Coturnix japonica: one gene and its partner. The protein of the gene in region 1 purifies or fractionates together with the protein of each later gene. This does not show direct contact. Links are inferred from orthologs where the notes say so. Each region holds a gene or a part of one and is shown on either strand. Other genes may lie near its edges.

The links. The genes of interacting proteins can lie anywhere in the genome.
Region 2: the proteins of DICER1 (region 1) and AGO3 purify together in Homo sapiens (affinity purification with mass spectrometry; 3 studies listed by BioGRID and IntAct, with this or other methods). This does not show direct contact. The link is inferred for Coturnix japonica from reciprocal best matches to the Homo sapiens genes DICER1 and AGO3.

The regions. Positions count from the first base shown.
Region 1 is NC_029520.1:41,612,692-41,617,162, forward strand, and holds the start of DICER1 (endoribonuclease Dicer), read right to left. Parts: upstream 3,020-4,471; 5' UTR 2,870-3,019; intron 212-2,869; exon of another isoform or gene 124-211; intron 1-123. UniProt on the Homo sapiens protein: Double-stranded RNA (dsRNA) endoribonuclease playing a central role in short dsRNA-mediated post-transcriptional gene silencing.
Region 2 is NC_029538.1:3,712,349-3,716,664, forward strand, and holds the start of AGO3 (protein argonaute-3), read right to left. Parts: upstream 2,965-4,316; 5' UTR 2,727-2,964; coding exon 2,708-2,726; intron 1-2,707.

The DNA of each region.
Region 1 (4,471 bases):
ACTTTCTTTTTAAATACAGCCACATCCTGAGGAGAAAAAATAAACCAAGTTTCTGCGCTATCAATATGAAGAAATGAGTATTGAACACATGAAGGTAACAGGACACAGATAGTCAGAGCTTACCCAGCTACACATTACAACATGAGGCAAGGGAACACTGTAACCATCTCTCTGCTCTGCCAACTATATCTGCCAAGCTCAGTATCCACAGTTTGTAATAACTATATGAGAGAAAAAGAAAACTGGATTTTCTCATTGAGAATTATGGAACATGGCATAACTCATTGTAATTGAAGAAGCACAGAATCACAGAATAACTCGGGTTGGAAGGGACCTCAAGGATCATGTAGTTCCAACCCCCTGCCTGGCAGGGCCACCAAACATACACCTTTACTAGATCAGGTTGCCCAGGGCCCCGTCCAACCTGGCCTTGAACACCTCCAAGGACGGGGCATCCACAACCTCCCTGGGCAGCCTGTTCCAGGGCCTCACCACTCTCCTAGTGAAGAACTTCCCCCTAACATCCAACCTAAATCTTCCCTCTTTTAACTTAAAACCATTTCCCCATGTCCTGCTATTGTCAGGCCTTTCAAAGAGTTTACTCCCCTCCTGGGAGTAAGTTCCCTTCAGGTATTAGAAGAATGTTTTAATGCAACTAGAACAACCCTGAAATAAAGGTTGTCAGTAGTCCTAGCACTTACTCTAATGCTCACTATCCCTAAAGAATCTCTAATCCTTTGCAAATTCTTCTGTATACTGTAAATGAGAGTTCAACCTTATACAGAGTACGTCAACTCCAAGCTTACCACCACATTCATTTCTCTAATCTCCTTGCTCTTCTAAAAAGTACAGGCGTATTCACTTTTATTTTTTTGGCCAGCAATTTGCATTCAGATCAACACATACTTGGTCCATTCACGGTGAAAGAGAATACAGATGAAGTAGTGAAGTTTTGCATCAAGGAACAGGAATCTCACAGGTTTTTTAACTGGGATTTGCGTACACCATACAGTAGTCTACCAGTACCCAATGGAGGACAACTACAAAGGAGTATAACAGCAAGACCTCCTACTGACACCTTTCACAGTCACCTTGTTGTTTTCTGTGTATGGGATGCTTGAGCATTCCAAAGATGCTACAGCACCAGGAACTGTAGCTACATATGATATAGCAGCATGTGATCTATAGTTCTATTGCCTTATTTATTTATTTATAAATTACAGGAACCTTTCAAGAACAGATGAAAAAAAGCTACTGCTTTCTATCAACTTCGCTCATGACTTTAACTTCAATCTCTTACCCTTCCTCTTGCAACTCTTCCCCTGTGTAAGAAGTCCTAATGAACTTTCTCCCTACCTTTGTGCTTAGTCTAAAACCAACTTTTTGAGGTAGAAGAGAAAGACAGCAAAAAACACCCAAACTGCATTTAGTATTACATATGTTGGCCCAGCAAGGACCTATACACCGCTATATACTACTATATACCGATGGCCTTTTATTTTCACTTATTTGCAAGTCCTGATGGTTCTTTTTACTTCTTGACTGAGTGCTGAGCTGCCACTTTCACAGAAACATTATCACTAAGATGATTTCATACCTAATTTAAAGTTCAGCACTTCTGTACAAGCATATTTATTTTAATCCCCCAGATTAATAAATTAAATAGTAACAATGCTCTGATCATACACCTATTAGCACCTTCCAGCTTCTAATACCTCCAAACCTTATACTGTAATCTTCATAACTACAAGTGTTGTAGACACAGACAATGGAAAAACCCCCTCTTCAGAAAAAGATTTAGGAGAATAGTTATGGTATATAGGGAGTAAACTCCAGTTTGTCTCTATATCAAATTATGGGAGGAAAAAAAAATAACCAAGACAACTTATTAAAGCTACATATGCAGTATGCACTTCAACACAACAACAAAAGTAGCTTATTAAAAGAAAAAGGCATATACAGAAAGTATAAAGCACAATATACCATAATGTAAACTGAGTGCCTGCAGTTAATTCTTTTGATTTTTCAGTTGGGTCTTTTTTCTTTAAGAATGGTCATCACCTTCAAACCTACAGCTTCCACCACTGTAGCCCCCTGCATAACTTGGGGTTCAACATCTCGATGTCCAGAACACTCATAACATATCATCTGAAGTGCCAAATCCCCGCCATTTGAAGTCAGTAGGGAACTATTTTTGGAAATAATCATTTCCGGGGAATGACAATAAGCAAAAACAAAACAAGCTTTTTTTTTTTTTTCCTCCTAGAGGTCAATACCACAGCCCATGTTTTTAGTATTAATTTACCGAATATATCAGCTTACTAACGTGCCTTTTAACCTTTTGTTCTTTCACAAAGCACCAGGTGTGCCTCTATCACTCTGCTACTACACTTTCTTCACTCCCCTAAACTGTAAGACGACGGGAGCACAACGAAGAGCCGCGATCTTCCTTCCCCGCCTTTAGCAGCGGGCTCCCAGCAGAGAGTTCTCCCCATGCTCCGATCCTCGCCCCGAACCCATCGGGACAGGACACGGGGGATCGGAGCTCCGCAGCCTCACACCGGGCCTTCCCCGCGGGCCCTACGCAGACAAAGCCGAGCAGGACCAAAGCGCGGCCCTCACACCCCGCACGCTGCCGGGAGCTGCCGAGGCCGACGGTGGGGATCCGAGCCCGGCCTCAAGACGGGCGAGGCCCCGTAGGGACGAGGACGGTCGCTGGGCCAGAGGCGGGGCACGGCTCACCGGGACCCGGCGGCGAGAGGCGGGGAGGGAGCGGCCGCCGCCATCCCACCCACCCACCGCGGCGGAGCGGGCTCCGCCACGCAGCTCCCGGGGCGACGGGCAGGCGAGCCCGGCCGCCATCTCCTACCTGCTCGGACGGACCCGGCGCTGCACCCTGCTACAGGCCACGTCTCATTGTGCTGCAGCCGCCACCGCCATTTCCCCGCTGCCGCCGCCTTGCTCCCCCCAGCTGTCAGGTTCCTCCATTCACCTGGGCCCGCGACGGCCTCCTCCTCCTTCTCCTCCCCCCGCTTTCCCCCTGCGCTGCCGGCCCTACGCAAACGGAGCACCTCCCTCCCGTACCAACGAAGGCCGCCCAGCGCCTGCGACGCAAACCCGCTTCGAGAATTCCACCCTGCGCAGCTTACGCTCTGCGTCCCCGCGACATGAAAGGAATCGAGCAATTGGCGGCGAGACCCAGATAAAAGGTGAAAGGTTCACAAAGCAACCAATGCGGCGAGGCGACACAACGGCTGCTCGGGAGCTGCCGGGTGGTCCAAGAGCTCACGTGTGTGCGCCTTCCCCTCCGGAGCATGGCGAGGATCGCGGCCTCCTCTTTTCCTCCGCTCCTTCCTCGCGCACGCGCTGAAGGGAGGGCGGCGGCCGCCATCTTGGCAGGGCTGTGATGGGTGAGCTCTGCGGGCTGTGGAGATGGCGAGGCCGCCTGCAGGGCGCTGTTTTTCCCTCTGAAAGACCAGCTGTCTGCCCTTTCTTCAGTAACATTCCGAGATACAACGCTTTAAGTGCCCCAAAAAATCTCATGAATGTAGCTTTTTAGCTGATGTAACTTCACTGTCAAAACCCTTCAGGTGAAGCGTCGAAGAGAAGCAAATGGGTTGTGCATAAACAATAGAACACAGTTTCTCTTGTATGTCACATGCTGCTGTTTTCCGGCTTTTATTTCCATGATGCAATTGACATCAGTGTTTAAAAGTCCTTGGGAAAACTGATAAATACTAAAAAGCCTTGAGTTTACCTAAACTGGGCAGCAGTGCCACATGACTGCTAACTCCCTAACTCCTACCTTTCTTAGCATCATCTGCTGACATCGTTCTCTTTGTGACTGGTGAGAAGACGGAACCCTCCTCCCAGAGATGAAGCTAATAATCAAAGCTCCAGTCTTGATTATTGCATGACTTAGACCCATAGGTGAAGCCTGAACCAGAGAGATGCCCAGGGCAAATAAGGATAACTTGTAGATTCATATGTTGAGTTTAAAAGTCCCTCAAGCCTAATGTCAGCTGGGATGGATCATCAGGGAATTGAAGTGTAGTAATCACATCCTATTTCTGTCTGGTTCCATCTGCATGTGTGTGACAGTTTGGTGGAACTATTAATGTCCAGTTATCAATTAGAGCAGTGTTGGAGCACAGAATTGAAGCTTCAGTCTTGAACAGCTTTGTCTGGAAGCAACCTTGAAAAGCTGCATCTACCTCAATTCACAAGGTCTTACCTGTTCTTCAGCACACTGCGCTCACCTTTTGCTGAGTTGGTCCACGTTCATCAGAGCCCACATCAGCTGTTTAGATTGTCCTGTCCCTTTCCATGGGTTTAACAACTCATCCTTTTTACCTTGGTGCCCTCTTCAAGGAGTTTCACTTACACTACGAACAAATTAAATCATTGACTAACAAGAGATATTTTGGTGGTGGTTGGTGATGTTCTTTTTTTTCCTGGGTGGGTTAAAAAG
Region 2 (4,316 bases), on another chromosome or scaffold:
AGATAAGGGTTTCCTTACATCAGCCTTCTGTAGGGAAGGGAAGCCAGTACCAGGCTTCCAGCATGAGATTAACCATTTTCACACTGTGGGCTTCAGCATTACAAATGTTAAAAATACAAATAGACGCTCAGTTAATCCAGACCTCTAAGCAAAGGGTGGCTGAGCAGATCGGGGGCTGTGATGGAAGACATGACAGGTATGGGCTCAGAACACAGACCTGGCAGCCCTGGCTGCATCCAGAGGACGGAGAGGAAGATCCCCTTTCACAGGGCCCCTTTCTGCTCAGGCTGTGGAGCTCAGAGAGAATCCAACCAGCAGCAAGACACGAGTCAATCCAGACACTCTGGATTGAAACAACAGGGTGAGGAGATCCTATGTAAGCACTGGTTTCCATAATAATAATAATAATTCCTTCCCTATGCCAGAAATCATGAATTCCCTTATTTCTGCAGCAGCAACCTCTCTGGGTGGCATTACATTATTGATGAGTAACGCAATCCACGTTTTCTCAACATTCCTACTCGCAATTTAGGCTCTGCTTTAAAGAAAAAAACAGTTCCAGACAATAAGTCATGTTAGAACTCATCGCTCCATCCATCCACCGCTGCTCTGCTTTCAGTTCCCATTGCCCCATGTACAGCCTGAGAGCAGAACAAGACCCCAGGCACACGATGCAGGACTAAGCTTAGAGCCACACTACCAGGAAATAGAAGTAATTTCTTACAGTGAAGCTTATTCTTTAGGCAGAATAAAGTGTGATTTACGCCCTCAGCAAGTTTTGCAGGTGATGAAGGTTAAAAGGAGCAGAGAATTAATGGCAGCACAGCACAAAGAAGTGAGGAACAACGCCTGATGAACATTAAGAACCAAATCAATCCGTATCCATCTCTAACCTTGCCCTCAGCTGAAGGTAAATGCTTCCCTTGGCACCCCAGTCACAAAACCTATTCTAACATAAGAGAAAAATGATTTAGTTAGCAAGATCTCTGCCCCCCTGGCAGGACACTGTGCTGCCTGTCCTCACTGCAGCTCCCAGCCTTGGGACCATTGTTGAGCTCTCAGCCCATCCCAGATGCTGCCTCTCAGTCCTTCGCTGCAGGAATTGCTGGCTCTGGATGCAGTGGGGGGCTGCTGCTCCACTGGTGTCATTTAAATGCAGACCAGATGTGTCCAAAAGCCTCATGTTCCCGTTATTTCATTTAAAACTCTTTTAGAAATTAGCTTAAGCTACATCCCACCCGACAATTAAACCCCTATGGAAGCAAAGCGACGGGGAAGAAACCATTTGTGAAGTTGGTACTTCGATTCCAGCAGCTTCCACTGCAATTCCACAGAGGCGAAGTTCCATTGTAACTCACATCACATGCATTCCTGACCAGAGTAGCTGCTGAAGGCACTTATGATTCATTCCCCCCTTTCTTCTCAACCCCACCCACAAAACTAGAACTTCTAATGGTCCTCCCAAGCCACCAACCTCAACACAGCGAGGCATTCTGTCTGCTACAAGCTCCTATGGAAAACAGACCACAGGATTAAATGATGCCTGTCATGCTTTAAAAGCACCACGACACCTTAACACTAAAAGCTCTGGATGTGGAAGGGACAAAAACTGATTCCAGAGAGAAAAGCAACTCGTTCCTGTGCTACACTTGTAAATCTGAACCTGAATCAGATCTGAATCTGAATCACGCCGGGTTATCACTATAGCTTACTCAACACACACAGACTGTTCACATGCCATCCAAATTCCAAAGGATCGTTAAAATCCAGCCCTTTCCTAACATGGTTTCAAATCCATCACTTAAGCTCATTAAGCGAGGACGCGGGTGGCGAGATTTCCCAGCCAAATCCATCACCAAGTTCAACCTCTGTACAAACACTAAAGGCGTCCATGTGTGAAGAGCCAGGGTGGGCCTGCTTAGCACCTCCAGCTCCTGCATCACATTCCAACACACCTTAAGCTTTAAGTCTCACTTTAAACACACGGTGCACAAATAACGAGCCTTTGCTTCCCACAGTACCAACCAAAACAGCAAAGGCCTGAACGAAGGGCATCACAGAATTAACAAGGTTGGGAAAGACCTACAAGATCATCTAGTCCAACCATTCCCAATACTTCCCATCTAAATCATATTCATCAATATGAATAGACATTTCTTGAACGCTCCCATGGTCGGTGACTCCACCACCTCTTTGGGCAGTGCATTATAATGCCTGACTACCCTTTCTGAGAAGCAATACTTCCTAATATCCAGCCTGAATCTCCCCTGACGCACCTTAAAACCATTCCCTCTACTTCTATCATGGATTACACGAGATTAGAGGCTCACTACAACCTCCATTCTAACTTCTAACTAAGGAAGTTATAGAGAGATATAAGGTCTCCCCTGAGCCTCTTCTCCAGGCTGAACAACCCCATCTCCCTCATTAGGCCTCATGTAGGGGCACAACCAGCCGATATGGGTGTGATTACACCCAGGCCCAGCAGCACGGACACAACCGGGATACACCGACAGCGATGCGCTCTGCATGGCACCCTCCGGCTCTTCAGGCGATACCCCGATGCTGCCGGGTTATACAATGCCCGCGGGGTTACGAAACGCTGTTCCCGGTTCCGCTGGGCCCAGCCGCTCCCCGCTGAGCCCGGCCACATCCCGCTTCTCCCCTCCCCACCCGGTGCCGCCCGGTTCCCCGTTAGGCCGCTCACCTGCGCTGCTGATTTCCATTCATGGAGCTGGGTGCAGCCACTCGGGGCTGCGGGCTCCTCCGCTGGGCTGAGCTGGGCCCGGTGGGGCTGAGCTGTGAGGGAGCAGAGCGGCTCCCGGTCCCGTTAGGCCGCAGCTCCTCTGGGCCGCTCCCGTCTCCTGAGGAGGCGGCGGAAGTTGCGTGGCCGCCCCGCAGCCCCGACTCACGCTGCCGCCCGCCGAACCTACGGCAGCCGGAAGTTCCGCCCCCGCACCGCACTTCCGGGATAAAGGCCGGAAATAAGGCGGAACCGGAAGTGCGTGAGGCGGGGCGGTAGTCAAGATGGCGGCTGTCAAGATGGCGGAGGAAGCGGGTCCGTCATGGCCCGGGCGGAGCGATAAGATGAGATGCTGCGGCCAGGAGCGGGTCCGATTGTGTGCACTGAGGGGTTACGGCGACATTTGGGATCTCCAGCCTTTGAAGTTGAATTCCTTTTAAGTCATTGCCAAAAGGACAGCAATGAACGGAGCTTTGGCCTTCATTCCATGCAAGGCCGCAGCTCAAGGCCCTGCTCCCCTCAGCTCATCATCCCCCATAGGGCTGCCCCACACTGCATAGAGCTGGGAGCAATCAGTACCAGCTATGGGGGGTGATGATATAAGCGCTCTAACAACATAAATTAGATCTAAAGGAAACTACTGGAATGTCTCCTTTATTCACATCCTGAAAGTCAGCTATGGGAGCTGATGCTGTAAAAATGTAGATATCTAAAAATCTACTGGAATGTTTCCTTCATTCAGATCCTGAAAGTGGAAACGTGATCACCACCATCACATCACCATCAGCCGTAGGGCTGAGGGATATGTCTCCATGTGGGCACCTCCTGCTGCTGTTATTGGAGCCCAGCGCCAGAGCTCAGGTACCAACCCAACAACCTGACACCATGGAGTGACAGAGATCTGCTTCCAGGGCCTCAGAGCCGGCACATGAAGCACCATTTTCTGTTACATCTTGGAAACGAGTCCCCTGAAACAGCTGATTGCTGCCATGGATGGAACCCTTCTGAGCGTGTTCTAATGTTAAAAGCAGGAAGGGATGAACAGAGTTGGTAAAGATGCTCAGTTCCATGCAGTGCATTCTAACAGCCCACATCAATTAGCTAATGAATATTTGCATGCCATTGGCAAATGCTTCCCTGCAATTGCTTCGCATTATTCAAAAACCCAGAGTTACAGCTCAGCTGCTCAATAATTCAGTGCCTAAAGGAATGTCGATACATGCACAAACGGATCCAGAGGATGGCAAACAACCTCCACTTCTGTACCCAAGACACAAGCCTAAACTTACAAGGTAAAGGACACTTGGGACGACAAAGTTGCAAGCAAAAAAAACCCCTCAGGATTAAGGCAAAAAAAAAATAAAGATGAAAATAAAAATAAACCCATCCACAAAAGCGACCAAATGAGATAGAGATACAATGTTCCGCAGCTCTTTAATCATACCGTTTTCTTTAATAAAGAGGTGGTTACGATCTTACAGTGTTACCTTTTGGCCTAATCCAAGGGTTCTGTTACTCTTTGACCGCTCTTAATTCCACGCATAGCAAAAAAAAAACCACCAAAAGAACCAAA